4 linked regions of the Drosophila melanogaster genome follow. The protein of the gene in region 4 interacts with the protein of the main gene of each other region in a pairwise test. Each region holds a gene or a part of one and is shown on either strand. Other genes may lie near its edges.

Evidence for each region.
Region 1: the proteins of Fip1 (region 4) and fest interact in a two-hybrid assay, tested with the Drosophila melanogaster proteins (one large-scale study listed by BioGRID).
Region 2: the proteins of Fip1 (region 4) and CG13871 interact in a two-hybrid assay, tested with the Drosophila melanogaster proteins (one large-scale study listed by BioGRID).
Region 3: the proteins of Fip1 (region 4) and Neto interact in a two-hybrid assay, tested with the Drosophila melanogaster proteins (one large-scale study listed by BioGRID).

What each region holds. Positions count from the first base shown.
Region 1 is NT_033778.4:19,340,014-19,346,266, forward strand, and holds fest (wurstfest), read left to right. Parts: upstream 1-1,795; 5' UTR 1,796-2,070; coding exon 2,071-2,358; intron 2,359-2,554; coding exon 2,555-2,938; intron 2,939-2,999; coding exon 3,000-3,178; intron 3,179-3,240; coding exon 3,241-3,417; intron 3,418-3,551; coding exon 3,552-3,698; intron 3,699-3,768; coding exon 3,769-4,032; intron 4,033-4,210; coding exon 4,211-4,313; 3' UTR 4,314-5,741; downstream 5,742-6,253. Other genes in the region: Rgk1 (Rad, Gem/Kir family member 1), read right to left, coding at 6,040-6,084.
Region 2 is NT_033778.4:20,315,409-20,319,580, forward strand, and holds CG13871 (uncharacterized protein), read left to right. Parts: upstream 1-1,914; 5' UTR 1,915-1,999; coding exon 2,000-3,562; 3' UTR 3,563-3,631; downstream 3,632-4,172.
Region 3 is NC_004354.4:13,444,065-13,448,947, reverse strand, and holds the start of Neto (neuropilin and tolloid-like), read right to left. Parts: upstream 3,046-4,883; 5' UTR 2,671-3,045; intron 1-2,670.
Region 4 is NT_033777.3:4,483,122-4,488,189, reverse strand, and holds Fip1 (factor interacting with poly(A) polymerase 1), read right to left. Parts: upstream 3,183-5,068; 5' UTR 3,085-3,182; coding exon 1,659-3,084; intron 1,595-1,658; coding exon 1,502-1,594; intron 1,370-1,501; coding exon 1,299-1,369; intron 1,243-1,298; coding exon 727-1,242; 3' UTR 513-726; downstream 1-512. Other genes in the region: sac (sterile affecting ciliogenesis), read right to left, coding at 4,132-5,068.

The sequences.
Region 1 (6,253 bases), on a different chromosome or scaffold from region 4:
TATATATAGCCGCTACACTAGTATGGATTTTATGATCTTTGTCTGCGCCAAAGTTCACTGACTGCAGAAGGCGAAAATAGTTTTCCACATTTTAACGAGCTTCGGCAAGTAATAGCGAATTTTCTCTATTCATTTGGCTGATGTTCTCCTTTTAGTTTTCATATCAAATGTGCCTTTGCCTTTACAAAACGAGCGTAATTACAACTTGAATTCAAAATTTAGCAAACTATTCCAACGACGCTCGCTGAAAATCTGAATTTTCAGCTGTCTGAATATTTGCGAATATTTTTAACGATAAATACTGAAAAAGGAGGTTAACCAATTTGTTTCACTTGCGGCTGGCGAAAGTGACAACGGAAAAATCACTTCGGTGGACGGGGTGATTTTTACAAATGAGTTTCCGTATTTCATTGAATGCATATGCGATTGCATTCCTGCTATAAATATATTACACATTTTCACTTTCAGTTGGTGTTGCTCAAAACTGAGTCAATGCGATGCGTGGGCGGAATTGCAGCTGCAGTGGCTGAATTTTAATGATCCGACCAAGTGCCAAAAATAAAATTTAAAAAATATGCCAGCCAAGTGTCTAAATAAACGCGTCCATTTAAATAGATATGATGGCGAAAGTGTCAATCTAAATCTGCGTGGGCCGATGGCCAAATGCAAGGAGTCAATGCGCTCATTAAACAAACTAATCCGCGCAAGAAAAAACTGAAATCAAGAGGCAAAATCAATCATGAGAGCGGAAAGAGTTGACAGTCGTATACAAAAAACACAATAGTTCCGGAAGTTCAGGGACTTTGCACACTGAAGGTGAGTTAGTGAACCCACAAAAATGGAAATAAAACGACCTTGGGGGTTTGCCAAAATTGTGGCTAATATGTCAACATTCAGGCAAATAAAATGGCTAATAACTGACAAGAAAAACGATTGAGCAGCTATTACTAAAATATATTATGATTTTAGTGTTTATTCATTAAGAAATAATCCAAAAATTTGTAGCTGTTCGACTGGAAAGTTCTATAAGAGCAGTTTACATTTCGCAGAAACTTTAAATGCCAGTTCTTATTTAATATGTCAATTTAAAAGTTTCAGTTGAATGTATAATACATTTAAATTGCGTGATTGTTTGACTTTGACAACATATTTAAGCCACGTTAAAGCAACAATTTAGAAGGGGATAGCTTTTTATTAGCAAAGTACTAAACTGTGCTACGTGCAAACATCACTTTTATCTGACTCTTGACATTTCCTGCCAACGCTTCAAAACTTTGCAACTCTGCGCACTTGTTCAGCATTTAACCAGCATCGATAAGAATGACGGCACTTTCTCTTGCACTTTCTCCCGTTCGGAAAATGCAGTTTCCCAATAAATCTTAAAGCCTAAGTCTTTTGCTGCAGCTTATAGCTGCGTAGAAACTATACAAATGAGCGGCAATAAATTGCTGGAAGCTGCACTGCTGTGCGTGTGTTCAAGTCTATTTCTCGATTCAATTACGAAGGCGAAACTTCGTTTTCCGGCCACTAAAAGCGAGGAGATGGGTTGCACTACAGTGTCGTCCTTAAATGCGTTATTTTGAATTCAATCAGCTTTTTGCCGTCTAAAAGTATGCAGCACTAATCGGATATACGTTGAACTTTCACGGGAAATCTAAAAGTGCCAGGGCTTCAAAGGGACGAAGGGAAAAGTAAAGTATCGTGTACTCGATATTACGACACTTTCAACTATCGAAAAACCCGGTAGGCCAGTGAGTGTCAGAATTGATGGCACATCCTTCCATCGGCACTTGAGGCAAGTCATTCTTTCGAAAATTGTCGCAGCGAGCAGTGCTCTTGAAAAGTCATAAAAAGTAAAAAATTAAATTCCTCTCATTGAGTCGTTGTGTTCCGTGTCGAGCAGAGTACTTTGATTTTCGCTGTCCAGCACGCCGCGTGTGCCGTTCTCGTTTAGATCCACATACCAAAGTCCAGGCCCCGTTTCAACCAAGAACAACAACACCATCATCCATCACCCATTCGATTCCATACGGTTTTCCCATAAATTTTGAACAATCGAATCTTGACAAAATGGTTACCGACGCCCAGGACACCGTTGCACCTAAGACCAGCAGCACCAAGGAGGTGCAGTGCCAGCACTCCGGCGCCCTGGATGAGCCCCATGTCGAGGAGCTGGCTCTACCGGGCCCCGCCCCCTTGGCCACGCCCAAGAGCGGCCGCGTTGGCATCTTCAATGCCGAGGACTTCTTGTCCCGCGCCCAGTTGAACGACAAGATCAATAACATCTTGCGCTCGCCCACCAAGGCTCCAAATGGTGTGCGCCAGCGTTCCGTATTCACCAACAACAACCCATCGCCGGTGAGTAGAGTTGTCACTTCTCCATAGGATTGCCTTCATTTTGAAGGCATATGCAAAAAATCGTCTCTTTGATTTTTGCAAGTCATTTTTGCAAGTCATATTTTCTTAGCATTTTTTGCAAGTCATCTTTTCTTCCCATTTTTTGCAAGTGATCTTTGATGTACCATGTGATACCTTTTCCCTTACCAATCCCTAGCAAGCCACCATGCGCTTTGTGTCATCGATGAACAGCCCATTGGCTCCACGTATGAGCAGCCTTTCGCTGACTGGCGGAGTGAAGCGCGGCTTGGAGCGCGGCAACAGCAGCAGCAGCATGGGCAACAGCGCCAGCGTGGGCACCAGCACCTCCGTCCTGGCCAAGGAGTGCTCCAGCCAGACAAACAGCTGCGGCCGCAGCTACATGAATATGGGCATGCACGCATCTTCCCACTCGGGCTTCGGAGTCCTGCCGCAATCTGGTGCCGGCTACGAGACCATGGGCTGGAACATGGATGCCGGCAATATTACGCGCAGCGGCAAGAGTCTAACGGGACGCTTCAACTCTGGCTATGGCTATGAGGTGGATGGAGCCTACTGCATGGTAAGTGCTTTGATTTATTGCCCCGTGTTTCGTATTTTAGAAATATGCGATATCTACCTAGCCACAGGCACATCACACCCAGCAGTTCCCATCGCCAATGCCACCACCACCTTTTGCTATGGATCGCGTCAGCTCGCGCACTTTTGAGTTCGAGAACAACACACCACCACCGTGTCCAGGATCTGGACCGATTGCCATGTCCAATGGCACCATCCAGTTGCGCCTGCGCGAGGGCGTTCGGTAAGTGAACGTGGTAGGAGATTTATCCCTTGATCATCATTCCAAATCATTCCCGATTCCAGCATTGACATGACCCTGGACAAGGCTGTCCGTGTGCTGAATCAGCGCAGCATGGTTGCCGCCGCCTTATCGCGCAACTGCAGCAACTCTGCCCTCATCCATCCCAATGGGCGCATCTTGCAGAGCGGCTCCAAGGTGGAGATCGTCACCTACGACGGAATGAAGGCCAACAACTTTGTGTAAGCTTAGAAGTAGAATCGAACCTTTACTTTAAGAGTGGCAAACAACTAGTATTTTGGAATTTAAACTTGTACTTCTCATTAGATTTTCGTATAAAATCTATGCAACTATAGCTGCAATCATTTTCTTCCAGTCGCTATGCCAAAATGTGGTACAAGGGCGTTAGCTTCACCAGCGAGTCCTGTGCCCTCATCTATCTGGTGGACACAGCTGGCACTCGCACCACCACCGATACCTTCACCGACCTGACCAAGGACTACACCTTGGCGGTGTTCTATGAGTGAGTTAAGCACGAAATTTGCCCAAATCAATTCGCCAAGCTCCTCTTTCCAATTAACAACACCCTCCAGCGATTCGCGCCACGGCCCATCCTTTGTGTCCGATGCCCACGACGTAATCGCCAACTCCACCTACAATTGCGCCGAGGACGGCACCGAGGTGTATGACATCAATGGATTCCGCATCACCCAGGCGGCCGACGGCCTGGTCAAGGTCAGCCGCCAGCACAGCAAGTGCCTGATTCGCACCAGTCCGGGCAATGGATCCGCCACCCTGACCACCACCGGCATCCACTGCACGGCTTCGTTGGGCAAGACCTCGCACCTGTTCGTCCGGTGAGTTGGCCACTGCATCCACACCTATTTGCAATAATGATGCACTCGAAGAATGCATTGTTCTCGTCGTATATTTATTCGATTATAACACTGATAGTGTTTAATTGATTCCATACTTTTGCAGTAATTCAGTTAATCGGATATTTGAAGATTCCTTTTGTTCTTTTTTTTTTTGCAGTCGTAATGAGAAGCGCATGCACTTCGACGGATCCTGTTTCATTGTACGCAATGCTGGTCACTCGGCTGGATTCAATGAAAACAACCTGCTCATTGTCTACTAAGTACCGCTCGCACCATGGGATGTGCATCGCGTTGGGTGGCCATCCAAATGCCACCTATAGCCACCCAGCGTGGGCAATCGAAAATCACCCCATTATACCACCACCACACACACATCACAGAAAACACACACACGCAAACCGACTCAAGCGTCGATATAGTGACCCCCCCAAAAAAAAAAATCAAAAAATCCAAACAAAACAACATTGGAAAACTGGGGCCTCGGCGTGGAGAGGGATCAGATCATTTAAGAAAACCTGGTCTTCTAAACAAAAAAAATTATAAATGTATAACTGCATTTAAGATGAAACAGCTCGAAAAAATGCGCGAGCAACGAAAACTGGCGATCCTGATCCTTGAAGGATTGCTTTTCGATTGCTCGACGTAGGCGCAACGCAAACACTAGGGAATTAGTTTTAGATAATCACACTTACAATCTCTCTAGCCCTCGATATCCTTGTTTTTATACGCATACCGTTATTTAGTACAGGCAATTCAGGTGGAATAGGCTCTGGAAAATCCACCTGTTGCCTGAAACGCTGGCCAAGACAATGCTATTTCGATCAGGGCCAGCGTTTGGTGTTATAAAAAGAATGAACTTGGTTCGCGTTTCGCTTCTTTTCGGCCCTCACAGTATAGCAAAATTAAGTTTCCAACGATTTTTTAAACGTTCGACACGTACTTGAAATGCAACAAATTCAGCAAGATTGAAAATCGAAAGTTGCAAAATTTCCACAAAAAAAAAAAAATAAGCAAAAATTGATAAAATCGCTGATATCAAAATTAGCCTCTGCATGATAAAAAATTAGCTAACAAACGACGGCTGCTTTGGCCAACGTAACACCAGTGACAATTCAGTTAGTTCTAAGTTACCAGTTAAGATTAGTTAAGTTACTACAATCCAACCATGTTCATCCTCACACAACACACACACACTCTACAGCGCAAACGTTGCGTAAAATGTAAAATGAGTGGACTTAGTGCTTAAATTTCCAAGTGTAGACGGAATAGTACCACTACCACACTCGTGGAATACAGATACACGCACACATGCACAAGCACACACACACACACACACACACGACAGGCCAAAGTGAGAAATTGTGACTGAAATGGAATACAATTAATTAGCTTACGAAACAAACGCTTATCTGAAAAAGGCAGTCGTCTTTGAAAACAAAGTTAAAACACGTGCACACTTTTAAACACCATTCCTTAAAAAAAAAAAAGTGAAACGCCTTGCAATTATACCTGTGTAGCCTTACAACAACAATCTTCAAAACTCTAAATTTAATCCTCATGTATATCGAAATTTATGTGCACAAAAATCGATGTCAAAAAGTAATACATGAAAGTCCTGAATAAAGTAAATTCTATCTGCGCTACTGTAATAGATTCGTATAATTTTGTTAATTCTCATGGGTTAAATCTGGATCGAGATACAATTTTCAGCGGCTCCTGGCAACCATATATGACCTCATACCTTTCCTCTGGCATTGTAAAAGTACAAGAAAATTGCTTAACGACTACAATTCACATTACAACCCTGTTGGAGGAGTTGTGGCACCTGAAGGGCCATCAGGACTTGAAATCTTTTCGGGCTTAAAGAGTTTGCGAGCTATGTAAATATTTAAAGGAATGAATTGCACGTTTAAAAGTAATTGAATGTTTGCCAAAAAAGGTTTTCATATACAAATATTATAAAAGATGAGAGGTCTTCATGTTTACCTGCAAACAAATCCAAAAGCACAACGATATGGGATCGGCAGTCATGCAGACCAAGCTCTCCAACAGACTTAACCTGGAGTTGGAGCCGGAGGAGCGGCCCGTTGGCAGTGGCTGTTGATAGAGATTAGTGGATAATGCTGGGGCGGAACTATATGCCACGGCTGACTCTGTCATAGGAAGAAAGTGGTTCCATGGTTAGCGGGTACACAGAGAG
Region 2 (4,172 bases), on a different chromosome or scaffold from region 4:
GTGGCAGACGATTTACGAGGCAGGCCAATAACAATTGGTCGCCAATGTTATTGGATGAGTTGTGTTTTTTATTGGATCGGAAGACAAAGTTCGGAGGTCGAGCTGACTTAAGCCTTATTGGCTTAATACGTGCGGCTTTCTCCATTGACGTCACTGGTGAAATGTGAGCGGTGTGCTGATGAAACTAGTTCAATGTCGCTGGCCCACTATGACGTCACCGTTGGCAGACATCGCTCATCCGCCACGTCGGCCCAGTCGGCCCAGTCGTCCCAGCCGGCCGGCCTTTGGAATGGGCGTAATATATGGGATCCGCTCGAGATTCGGTGTTCCTCACTCCCACTATCAACCAGCAACATCCATGACCCGATATGCCTTCCAGAAACTTCCCTGCGCCACGTGTCGCGTGTCTGGCGTGCGTGTTTGTAAACAACTGCACTGCCATGTCCTTTTTACTATCAAAACAACAGGACACCAGGGCGCAGGCGCTGGAAGGCTATGCACATTCCACACGGAACAGAGGCTGGAAGTCCTGGAAGGAGGAACGAGAACACAGAGCCCAACACTCCAGGGCGTTCAAATGTGTATACTCGATGTCCTGACTTAAATATTACTTATGATAACAAGTTAAGATAAATAAATATAAAGTTAATATATAGCTTTGTCTAAAGAAACTACCTTGACAAAATGACTGCAATAAATGTTTATATTAAATTCATAAACATTAATTCTAGAAAAGAGCACTAGGCTTTGTGTACTTTTTTTTTCCAAATATTTGTGTTTTCTTCTTCTTTTTTTACAAAAGAAATCATTCATTTATTGAAATATTACTAGTTGTTAACTGGGCCTTATATTCCGGGACGCCACTGTCGCGTTGGGGATGCCCTGCTCTTGCGCACTTTTATTGACAATTTCTTTGTTGTCTGCTCCCCGTTGGTGTTGCTTTTTGGCTCAAATTGCCTGGTTACCGCAGTCATTTGGCCAAGTGGCAAAATCAATAGAGGGAGTTGGAGATGCCAGGAAACAGAAGCCAGGAGCCCATTACCTTATTATAATTGGGAGTATTATCAATCGCAGGACGGCACACACATGAAATGAAACGCCGCCTGCCGCAGGAAATGCGTGGAAGCCAGGAGCCTCTTACTGCTTTTTACTCCAGTTGTAGGAACCGTTGTAGAAAAATAAAATCAATATTATCATTTTGGCGTGCATATTGAGGACAGTCATTGCACTTGGTTTCGCAACACTTGGTTTCCGCTTGTATTTAAGGCATTAACTAAGGATTTCGGACCCCGTTTAGCGTTTAGTTTTTGTGCCTTTTGCGTTTGAGTGTCATTTAACGATGAGTTCGCAAACTCTTGAAAACACGCCTATGACACAAAACTTTCAGGGAGATATGGGAAATCTCTGTTTTTCGCTTAACTTCACAATTTATTATAATTTAGTTTGTATTTAATATGTCCATTTATTTCGAGGATGTGCTGCACAGTTGGACGTGAAAAACTCGACTGTGGCTTACGAACTGAATGAGCACAGCATTTCCACTTTCCAGTCCGATTTCCAGTAACCTTCCAACCACTGATTCCCGTTATGCTTTGTTGCTTGAACAAGCCTTCTCCGTGTCCTTAGAAGTTCGACCTGACGTCGTCCTTTGTTGAGCAAGAAAAATATGACTGCCTTCTTTCAACAAAATATTAAAAAGATTATTTACTACCATTTAAACTCTACTTGACCACTTGAGTTCTTTGGGCAAATAATCTACCAATTCACTTTTAATGTATACTTTTTTTTTTAGAATTCTTCGCTTTAATTATAGAAGATTTTTAAAAAATTATTTAAACATAAAAACAACCAATGAGCATAACATGTCATGGAACTGATTTCGAATATAAGGAATTTTACAAACATGACTCGGCGATAATTCCAGCAAGATGTTGTGCTTATGAGAACAATGTCAACGCGGATTTTGAGCCACAGCGCAGTCCGACTTTCATTACTGGCAATGGCAATCCTGGCGAGCGTTGGACAAGCGACCGACCGATCCGAAGGAAGATCAGTACGCAGGTACTCATATGCGGATACCTCGTGGCCCAGGCGGCCGTTCGGCAGCGAGCGAAGGGACTTGGCGCCTTCGGAGCAGCGATACTTCTCCGATCCGGAACTGCTCTTCCAGCGGCTGGACGACATGGAGCAGAAATTGGGAATTCCAGAAAAAATGGCTGCTGCTGGCAAGGTGAAATCGGAACACTATCTGGTTGGTCCCACGAATGTTGCCGCCCAGATGCTCAAAGATAACTTGTACAAATTTCCGATTGATGACGGCGCCATTGGACAGGGAATGCACGATGATTGTCTGGGTAAGGAGGATGTGGATGATCCCTTCGAGTCCCTGGCCAGGATGAACTTCAATGAGCATTTGAATGAGCGTAAGTCCGATCGTGAGCTCAAGAGGGTGCTGGGTGGCTACTTAAACGACCAGCAGCTGGATGGAAAACCAGCTGTGGCAACAGCCAATTTGCTGGCCAAGGTCATTAGCTCCAAGGTCGATCAGCCCAGGAAGTCTGGGCCTTGTCGTGGCACCACGGCTCGATCCCACGGGTTCACCACAAGAAGCCCTACGACTCATCGGACGACCCTTAGTACCACAACGCGCAGTCCCACCACTTTCTGCCTTCCGGAACCCTCATCCGATCCTCCGCTCAAGCCGCTTCCCACATCTCCACCAACACCTCGTCCTCCGCCTTCCGCACCTTCGCGTCCACCAACGACGCGAAAGCCATCTGCTCAAAGGATTAAGCCCAGTAATAAGTGCCCCATATCGACGAAATCTCAAAAGCTAGGAGGTGCCAAGGTGCTGCTGGAAATCATTTTGGCCACCAAGCAGCATGCCCTATCGGTGCTCAAGAATCTCAACTACCTGGAATTGGAACTGCTAAGTCACTCAACGGACGACGATGTATCGGAGAACCACGTTAAAGAGAAAGAACCAACAACAAAGACGTCTGAACGTATCGAAAAACCCGAGCCAAGGCCACCATCCAGGGTATTTTCCTTTGGAATTCGACCAGCGAGCCAAAAAGAGAGCTTGTACGACTTGGCAGTGGCCAAGGAGGAGGAGTTGAAACTGCAGGATCGGGTGTGGGAGGAGCACCAGCAGCAGATGAAGCTAAGGAGGCCAATGAAGCCAAAGAGGTTTGAGGTTGCTCCGGCGGCTGCTGCACGCCTGGAACCTTTTCAGGAGCCTCGAAAGCCACTGAAGTCCATAAATTCCATGGAGCCTTTTACTCCTTTGGAACCAGAAACCTCCGACGACAACAGACGTATCAATCTGGAAGCCTTGAGCGTGGTAGTCAAGCCAATGTCCTCCTTTCCCAGAAAGGATTCTCTTAGCTCGTCGCCGCGAGCACAAATGAATGCTGTTCAATTGGAGGGCACAAGCGATGATGAACTGCATCCAGGCAATACATTTGAATTGAGACCAAGAAAGAAGAAAAAACACAAGTTGTACGCTATGGAAAAGCAGACACAGACTAAAAAGCTACCCATTGCAGGAGTTTTTTATTAAGTCATTTGTATAAATATTAACAGAGTTTTATTGAAACATTTATTCAACACTTAAATATATTTTAAAAATAAGAAGTTTGAATTTTGGCGCCAATACGTTAACCCTAAGACAGTGCTTGCTTATAGCTTTTCGTATTTATATGCCACTTGACGTATTTTTTGACATCCAGCCCACGGTCTCACTAGAAGGCGCCGAAAATTTTAGAAACGTCAAGCGAGAATGAACTCCCGTATTGTTGTGTTAAAAGGAACTTCGTTCGGGATCATCGGAATATTCATTTCTCAGGAAAACCCCAATAGTCTCATTTATGCAGTTTGCAGTGCATATCTTGCTGAGACTCGATTTTTATTAATTGTTTAATAGTTTGGTAAGGACAGAAAACTCACAATATCGCATTACGACACATTCTTTGTATTTGCACAAACGAAATCAAATTCTAAAATATAGATCAAAATAATTTAATTCTGCGTCTGCGCCGCCGCTTTCGTCCATCTCTTTCTCGTCTCTATTCTCTTTATTTTTTGCCCCTTGTCCGTCTTATTTTTCTAGCCCTGTGTTTGCCAATTTTATTGTGCACACTGAAAGAATAACGCGGAACAGGCGCAACTCA
Region 3 (4,883 bases), on a different chromosome or scaffold from region 4:
AAAAAAATGGCCCATTCCCATTCCCATTCGCATGCCCATTTCCAGGCTTTTCTGCTCTTTTTCCGTTCTGATTAGTTGTATGCCATTGCGTTTTCCAACCACCCAAGTCCAGCTGCAATTAGTTTCACATTCCACGGGAAATTGCTGCGAAAATCGCCGCACAATGCAAAAAGGCTTTAAGATCAGACTTTTTTGCGGCCAAAAATAATACGGGGAAAGAAATGAAAACACTGTGGACAGACACAAATAATAAATAAGAAGAAATCCCAGCAAATGAGAGAGGACCTGTTGCTCGGGACACAAAGGAAATGGGTGGTCAAAGGAGGCGGAAAGCAGTTAAGCTAACCGAAATCGCCAAAGGAAGTTTGGGCTTAACTGTAAAAACTTTTGGCTTAATTTTATTGAAATAAATGGTTACAAAAATTGAACAAAATTTAATCTCAGCACAGCTGCAGAGAGATAAAACTAAATGGAGTCCAATGTGGAAAAACTAGAAGGGAAATTACAACATGGCTAAGAAAATTAAAAGGATCACAAAAACGAAATGGTTGAATTAAAATCAATGGAGAAAATCTGAACAACAATATAATCACACTCAGAAAATACGGAGTACAAATAAATATTGCTATTAAACATTGATTTGTAATTGTTGAATGCTGGATACATTCTTCTTGAACAAAATAAGAATACACAGAAGAAGAAAATAATATGATTTAAGCTTTCTTTTGGAGTAAGAACTCATCCTTTACTTTAGTCCTTAAAAGGCAGGAATAATCCTTTTCCCTATTTGACCAGCTGGTCAACATGCCATTAATTACCATCGAAGTTTCCCTTCAAAAATAAAAAAAACCCTCGTGAATAAAAGTTTACCACAAAAATTTTGTTTGCCTCGCCCAAATTTATGAGGGCAACATGCTGAAAAAATTTAAGAAAACCGAAATGGGAGCAGCAAAAATGAATGGAAAATGAGAAGAAAAACTAAGAAATCGACGAGGGCGCTGAAAGTGCGTGTATAAGATAGCCTTGAGCCACATATGTGGGAATGGGATATAGAAGAGCGACAGACGAGATGAACATAATGCAAAACTTTGTCAGCCACCGATAGAGAGAGATGGCTGCACAGCATGCGAAAGAGATGGGACGATTGGAAGTCTAGTGAATTCATTGAGACGGCAACAAAACAGAGAAAACACTGGGAAATTAAGTTAATGGACAATTAACAACCAACACAATACCCCGTAAACAATTAATTTATTCAATCTACTAATGCAATAAATAAAGATTGCATTCAGTTTTGCAAGCCCAAATGATTATTATTGTTTTGCGGAGTATATTTTTATTTAACCTAATAGCATAGTTCATCAATCCCTAATCCATACACTGCGTATTCGCGAGGGTATTTAAAGAAAAGCCGATGGAAAACCTTCGTCAAAGTTGGCGCTAACGGAATTGTTGTAGTTGTAGCTTGGAAAATCTTCTTCAATAACAGCAGCAACAACACAAAATACCCATTACGCATATGTAATAATTTTTATTTTCATTTTTTTCCGAATTTTCTTCTGTTTTTTCTTTCTCTTCGTGTGATCACAGCTGTGCCGTGGACAAGGAAAAGCGGGAAAACGAAAGGGAAAATTGGTGAGAGAAGTGGGAAAGCCTGATGGCAGCCGTTTAATTTTTGCTCTTGTTTTTGTTGCTGTCTTTTATTAATGAATTTCTCTCATTTTTCACCAATTCTCTATAGCCTCTGCGTTCGTGTCTTTGGTTTTTATACAATTTTCCCCTCTTCGCTTACTCGTTCTGCTCTTGTTTTTTTACTATTTGGGCTATGTCTAAAAATATGTCCGCCAATTCGCTAAGTGGCCCCAAACTTATCTATACGGGATACATAGAAAATACGGTCGAAGTTTCCAAACGAATGCGACAAAATAGTTTAAATTAAACATTCATTCGAAATCTTTCAACATATATTGTAGCTTATATGAGATAAATAATAAAAACAACAAAAAATCGAACACTTTTCAAAATGTTTAGAAATGTTTAATCGCAAGTATATTCGATCTAAAACTGCTGAACAAATTAACAATTAATAATATGTATAAATATATCCCAAGACGCATTAAAATAAAATCAAAGACTTAAAGCGCACTAATAAAAAAGAAAAACTCATTTAAGTGGGCACTTACTAGGAAATTACTAGAGATTATTTTAATATTGCTTTAGAATCCGCATAATGGACGCCTTCTGTGCAAAAGGAATTTTTATGACACATCCACTTTTTGCCTTTTCATTTCCATTTTGTTGGCTAAAACCGAACAACTTTTACAACTACAGGCTAAAAGAGACTAATGTGCCCTCTGGATCATTGAAGCTTGATTTATGCAAATTTCATTCAGCTACCACAGCCATAATGCCTTGATTTGATTAATATATTCGCAAACATATTTATTGCCTATTATGCGGAATGCAGCAGTATACGTATTTATTTTATAATTGTTATCCTTTGCAACTTAATATTGTCACTAGCCCACTAATTAATTGGTAAATATCGGCAAATAGATTTGTTATTTTAAGAAAACACGGAAATATAATTTGTTTACATTGCAAAGCTGCCATCTAATATATATATGTATATGTGCATATGTTTAATTTATATATATATGTATATATTACTATTTGCGTGTTGTCGCCTCCTTTGGCTGCGTTGCGAAATGTTGTTTTTATTTGTTTTTGTTGCCGCTGCGCTCCGCGAAAATATCTCAATTTTTGGCGCGCATTTTTCAAGCCGGCAAGCTTTTCACACACACACACTTTCACACTGGCACTGTCACTGTCACACAAACAACCAAACAAAAAAATTTGTATTTCTTTTGAACAAAAGCAAAACCTTAAGATTTTAAAATCGTATCTCTGGTGCTTGTCTATTAGCAACCAATCGCGATGTTTTTTTTTTTTTGGTAGTGAAACGTTAATATCGAATGTGCTGTCACCGGAGAAAGCGAACCGCGCCGCGTGTCCGTACACGTGGCCAACTCGACGTAGACTGGGCGTATACGTAATGCCGGAATTTGTGGCTCTGCTGCATCGAGTCTGCCGCTCGACTGTTGCCGCTGCCACGGCGGATGCTGCCACTGCTGTTGTCGACCCGCCAGTGCTGCTTACTTAGCCGGCTTTCCCGACAACTCTGGCTAGTTTTTCCAGCCGCTCACTGTCTTATTCTTTTCTATCAACCAAAAAGAATTGTATTCGTATTTATTACTTTATTATGTTACTACCTAAAATTGATTGAGTTGTTTGCCCAATATCTATAGAAGTTTTTTTTTTAATACTAACAATCATTAACATAATAAAACAAACTAATTGGATTCCACTTGTTAAAAAAAAAAATACGTATTAATAAAAATATCTAATTTTAGAAGAATATCACACCATAAAATAAAATACTTGCGAGAATCTAGCAATTTTTGTCCATTTCCCACGCTTAAAAATTAATTTCCCGAAAAGAAATTTAAAAATTATAAGCTGATATGTATTATCTTATTTTTCTAGCCTCTCAAATTGACAGTACTATTTATGACGGATCTTAGCTTTTAATTATTTCTTTTAAACAAAAATTGTTTCCTATTAGATTTACGGATGTGAATATGAAAACTGACAGTGATCTATAATATCTTGCTTTTCTATAGAGATTAAGAAATAAAAACTTAATAAAAATAAATTATGGGAAACGTCTGCTCGATATCCAGATGCATTTCTTAACATCAACATATTTTCGCCGCCCACTTTCAAGCTCATTTTAGTATATACATTTTGATATGGTAAAGAGCCAAAAAATAGTGCGATTTATTTTAAAACTTAAACTCATTTTATCACAACATTTCACCAAAACGTTAAACAATGATGCAAGTATACGGGTTTCATGCGAACCTTAAGAAATTGGAAAATAATTATTTTCAGCTTTTTTTCCCCCCCAAAATATTTGGCATCTCTGAGGATGCTCCACAAACGCTCAATGTCGAGTGAGTGGGAATACGAGGCGATGGCCGAAAGCAGCCGAAGTGCGTTCGTTTGTGGCACAAAATTTCACTCGAAACGGAATTTCCCATTGTTCGAGTGCGAGTGAGATGGGAGTGAGCGGGAATTTTGAGTGAGTTGTAGGTTTTTTACTCATTTCCGCTGGCACTTCCGACGTCGTCCTGGGCCAAGGAAGTTGTAGCCACGCTGACAAGGACAACAAAGTCTGTCTTCATTTTTTGTTCGGCTTCTTCGCAAAATATTTTATTTTATTTGCTTTGGTTATATTTTGCTTTCTTTGTGTTTTTGTTGTTATTCTCTTCTTTTTTTTCGTTTTTTTTTTTTTGGTGAAATGTCAAATGACATGCCTGGATCACAGACTGTGGAAACTGTTGTGAATGTGGTTTTCTTAAAGCCTCAAGCGATTTGATATTTCCTTTGCGATTCGTTTGCATACATTGTACGAAATGTGTGCGAAATAAAAAAAAAAAACGACTTCTGTGGTCTCTTAAAAACTACATTCCCTTCATTACAACATATTTTTAATAACTTGAGATCCCGCAGATTACGTGAAGTTTCTCCAGACACTCTTAATTGCCTTTATATTAGCTTTCGAAGCGTTGCTATGACAGAACGCGTTAAACACCTCAAATAAAAGTAGAAGCCTATCATCTAATACTCTCTCAAATTAACCAATTTTAAAATCTATGTCATTGCTCGAGCTGCTTAAATTAAATTGATTATTAAGCTGATGGAAACCTTAAAGTATAACCAACAATCTGATGTTTATTATTGCAAAAACATATAAAATTTCCAATTGTAGGTTGTAGTTACGCTTACTTGATAACCTGATTAAGTTTTAAACGAAAGGC
Region 4 (5,068 bases):
AAAAAAATTTCAATGATCAAGGCGAACTAATTAAATGCGTCTAAATACATTTGCCATCGCCCAAATCGTTGTCTGTCTAGCTTTCTTATCAGCAGAAGGATAATTGAAAAGGTAAACGGCAAAATATACCTCTCGCGTGTAACTTTAATTGCACTCCTTTTTATCATCAATACTTTACTATTTGTTTGGCTGTACCGTACTATTTTTTATTTTTGGTTGCTGTAATTTTCTAATTCGATTACTATATTATTGAATTTATAGTTTCTTCGTGATTTCATTATTTATGTTAATAACCCATTTTTAGTATTGAAAAATGCAAATAAGTGTCAATCCATCCCACGTCCCTCTCTTCGTTCGTATGAACGTCGAGATCTCGTTAATGGTGTTTTTCCATTTTTTCTGTGCCAACTATATTATATAGTGGGCCAATTTAATCCCAAAAATAAAAAGAAAAGGGTTGGGATGTTTTAATTTGAAAACAAACATCCATCGACTCGTCTGATGACACGGATCAAGAATACCACAAGAATACCACATGATCGCACATGTCACCTTTATTAAATTTAAGGGCTTATTCACATTGAATTATTGAAAACCTAACGTACATATATTTAAACTGACCAACGGCGTTATAAAACATTTAGTTTGATTTTTGTTTTTATTAATATGTTCTACAACTTAGTGGATTTCTTCTTGCTTCACTTCCATAAAGTACCTAACCAAATGCTAGTCGTCCTCTTCTTTGTCCTTGCGATGCGATTTTTTCTTTTCGCTACGACTGGAGGATCCTCCGGTATTGCTGCTGCTACTCTTGCTGCTTCGTTCGCTTCGATCTTTCTCACGGGACTTGGACTTGCGACGGCTGGACTTTTCGCGAGATCGAGAGCGCTCCCGACGGGAGCTCTCTTTATCCTTTTCCTTCTCCTTATCTTTGTCCTTATCCTTCTCTTTATCTTTTTCCTTATCCTTATCTTTATCTTTGTCCTTTTCTTTATCTTTATCCTTGTCCTTGTCACGAGACCGCTCTTTGTCGCGATGTCGTTCACGTTCCTTTAGGTCACGTTCCTTGCGCTTCTCTTCCTTCAGCAGGTGCAAATAGTCTTCGAAGTACTCCTCACGATAGGACGAGTCCAGGGCTCGGTACCTTGGATCCGCCTCAAACTTTTTCTTAATATCGTACCACCTGGTGTGCCTTTCGATGTCATGTCGCTCCCGCAGCATGTCAAGGAAGTCCTTTCTCAGCTGTACAAAAATGATAATTATAATTCCATGACTTGATATTTATGTATAAAACATACCTGATCTTTCTTCAACAGTTTTTCCTTCTCGCGCCTCCTGCGCTCACGATCGTCGTCGTAGGCGCCACGATCTGAAACGTATAGGAAAAAGGCATTTTCATAAAAAGGACTGCGTTAGGATCGTCAGATTAGCATTTAGCTTAACAAACAAATTGCAAGAATATGACGTAAGAGTAGCTTAATTATGTTAGTTGTGTTCTTACCGCCCATGGCCAATCTCTGTGGCGGTGCCATACCCATTCGCATCTGTGGCGGGGCATTTCCTCCCATCATCATTCCTGGTGGCGGTCCCATGTCTGCAAGAGAAAACATAGATAAGCCGGGTCCAGGACATGATAAATATAAATATGCTGAACGCACTCATATTTGGCGGCATGCGCATGTTGGGTGGCATAATGCCGCGCAAATTGGGTGGTGGACCGCCCATCTGCGGCGGTGGCACACTCATCCCAGGAGGCGGCATGCCAGGCGGAGGTTGTTGCATATGAGCATGACCAGGAGTAAGCTCTTTAATCCCGCTGGGTACCCATCCGGCATTGTCATTGTTCCACTGCGACTCTTGGGTGGGCTCATAGCCGTAGTCAAAGGGTTCTGGCTCGTGGAAGAAGGGTTCCTCAGAGGCGCCGGGTAGCGGGAAGTTTGGCGCCATGGGTCCCAATCCCCCACGAGAATACTCGCGGCACTCGGCGGTCATCACCTGAATGGCGTTCTCCTTAACGGCTCTCTCCCGGTCACCTCCCCTATCGCCGCCTGTGGTTGAGATGGGTCTTGGCGGGCGCTGCATCAATCCCATCCCGGATCGCGACTGGTGTTGCATCATAGGCGGCGGCATTCCCGGCGGGGGCATTTGCATGCCGCTTTCACCGCCCATTCCCACCATGGACTGGATACTGTGCATTCCGGGAGGGCCCATGCCCATACCGCCATCTGTGAGGATTCCAATGGGGGCATTCTGATTCACATTCTGAGTGAGGCTGGCCAGTCCGACACCACTCTCCGCCACGCGGAAGCGTTTCTGGCGCTCGCAATAGGCGCGCCACGTCTCTTCGTTAAAGCCATAGTTGAAGTAGTCGGTAATATCCGCTCCCGGCTTTCGCCACGGCTTCTCCTCAAGCGAATCGATACTGAACTCGTGCACGGCCACTCCGTTGATGGTGCCGGCACCTTCGAAGTCCTCGATGCTAAACTTCCCTGCCTGACCAGCCGGCTTGGCCTTGTCTCCGGCAGCACCAGTGCCTCCAGCCAGCAGGTTGGGTCGCTGCTTGATGTTGTAGGTGCTGGGGGCCTGTTTAATGTCTCCGATAACCACGTTGATATCGTCGTCAGAGTCGTCGTCTTCATCATCATCGGACCCTGAGCCGTTCCTTTCTCTCCTCGCGGCAGGACCATCGCTCATCTCGTCGTCCTCTGGGTCTGGCGATGATCGGGCGTCGGCCCTGTCCGCGCACCGACCACGATCCCGTTCTCGGTCGCGCTCCCTCCTGCTCCTGCTGTCCGTGTTGGGCAAGGCATCCTCGTCCTCCTCCATTTCCTGCGCGGGATCGTCGAACTCCGAGTACTCGGGCACCTCCTCCTTTGGACAGCGCGGCGAGTCTTCAGTGGAGTTAGTTCCGGCCGAAGCGCCCGGCTTTTCGCCGGCCACCAATTCGGCCAATGCCTGAGCCTCAGCCGCCGCCGACTCGTGCTCCGCCGTCAGAGAATCCCCGCCGTTGCCCAGCTCGCCGGTCGTCGAGTCAGGATTCGAGGTGCCATACAGCCAGCTGTCCTCATTTGTGTCATCTGCCATTGTAGTTTCTCAGAAATGCAGAAATAAGCAGCAGCTATTGCGATGGACAAAAATTTTACAAGAAACACAACGCAGCAGTGTGACCATTCCGATACATAAAAAAATTCCATAAATACTATAATAATACTGTTCTGTTTCAATAAAAATATCATTTTTTTAATAATTTTTTTATGTCTTATAAATAAATATTTCTTATTAAGGTCCAAACAACTTAAAAATTAAAAATAAATATGGTTTTTTTTTTAGAAGTATTTAAAGATTTGTACGATAGCACATATAGGAGTTTTTAGAGCAATATATTAAAACTTTTGTTAAACGGCTTCCGTTTCAGATACCCGCCAAATGGAGTAAGCGTCGTCGTATAACTTACACTACATACATATGTATGTAGCTTCCTTCCTCGCCAATATGCTTCGCAGATATAGATTCAAAGGAGATTTTGATTTTGTAACGGTTTGCCATGTAGTTGGTAGTGGTCTTAATAGAAGATTAAATGAAAAAGTCTATGGATATGGATTTTTAAGATAATCTTGATTACCAGTGTTTCAAAACTTGGGCGGGAACAGAAGAATTTCTTGTTTCAACAAGATGTGTTCAAATAATTTTTGTGAGGAAATGGCTCTTTTTTAATTCATTTGGAAAAATTCAATGTTCCTAATGGTTATGTTTTAATATTTGCTAATAATGTTAGTTCTCACTGTTATTTACAACATTTCTGTGTTCCAAGCAGATTCACTTGAAATTACATACCCCTAATCTTAAATCATTGTAGATCTAACCATGATTTGCATTAACCCTACTGTGACTATAATATGCTATGACTGTATAGCGGCTATTGATCCTGGTAAAAAGTATATATACTTTATATGGTCGTACATACATGCTTCCTTCCGCCTTTTATGACTACTTTAGTATAGCATTTTACTCTACGAATAAATGATATAAGAAGGACAACACAGAACACTATCCAAGACCCCGGTCGAGCCACGCCCTGAGCCTGCCCAGAAATGTTTCGGGCAGGAACTAACGAACGATTTCAACAACAAACTATAGTATATCCCGGCGACACTTGCGGAGCTGTTTGCGCAACAACATAGCATTCAATTCGGCCTGCTTTCGCCTCTCTTCTTCCTCGATGGCTCGCCGAATTTCCTCCGCCTCGTTGTTGGCCTTCTCCGAGATGATGTGGACTTCGGGCAGGACGTCCAAGATGCCCTTACGAATGAGGTACTGATAGTTCATCGCCACTGAGTACTTAATCTCCTGGCCAGTTATCGCGCTTAGTTCTTGCCAGTGAATGTACATCCAGTTCTCATTTCGGATATCCTTAATGCTGTTGTAAACTGGAACGAAATCGTCGATCTTTGCAATGAACGTTTTGGCCACATCCATGATCTCGACTTTTTCATGAAATATTTTCATTGACTCGTTGAGTTCGTCGCGAAGCCTCATCAAGTTATTCCACACATCTTCCAAGTCCAGTTGCGCTATCGGGTTGCCCAAGGTAGCGTCCTCGAGCTTCAGAAAGTTGGCGCAGCCGTACCACAGGTTCTTGTAGGGAGTGAAGCTAGCGATTATGCTCTCCAGGAACTCAACAGAGAGTGGCTCCAGCTCAAATAGCTCCTGCCGAAATTGCAGAGTTTGGCTGACCTTCTCGAGCTCCTTAATCAGAGCCCACGTCTTCTTAATGTCCACTGACGTCTCCTGTGCGCGGTTCGTGTTAAACGCCAGTGAGTAGGCCTGCACCTCGTCGTTGAGGGACTCCAGACGCTCCTCGAACGCTTGGCACTCGCTGGCGTGCAGGCGGAGAAAGTCCTCGATGTCCACCTTCTGCTCGTCCTTCAATGTCGATAATCGCACCATTATCTGGTGCGGCCATGCGTACACGTTCCACTTCATGGCGAACTGGTGGTCACTCAGGTTGTAAAAGAAGCTATCCAGCAGGTCGTACTCCAGCCACATGACCTGAATGTCAGCCTTAAGC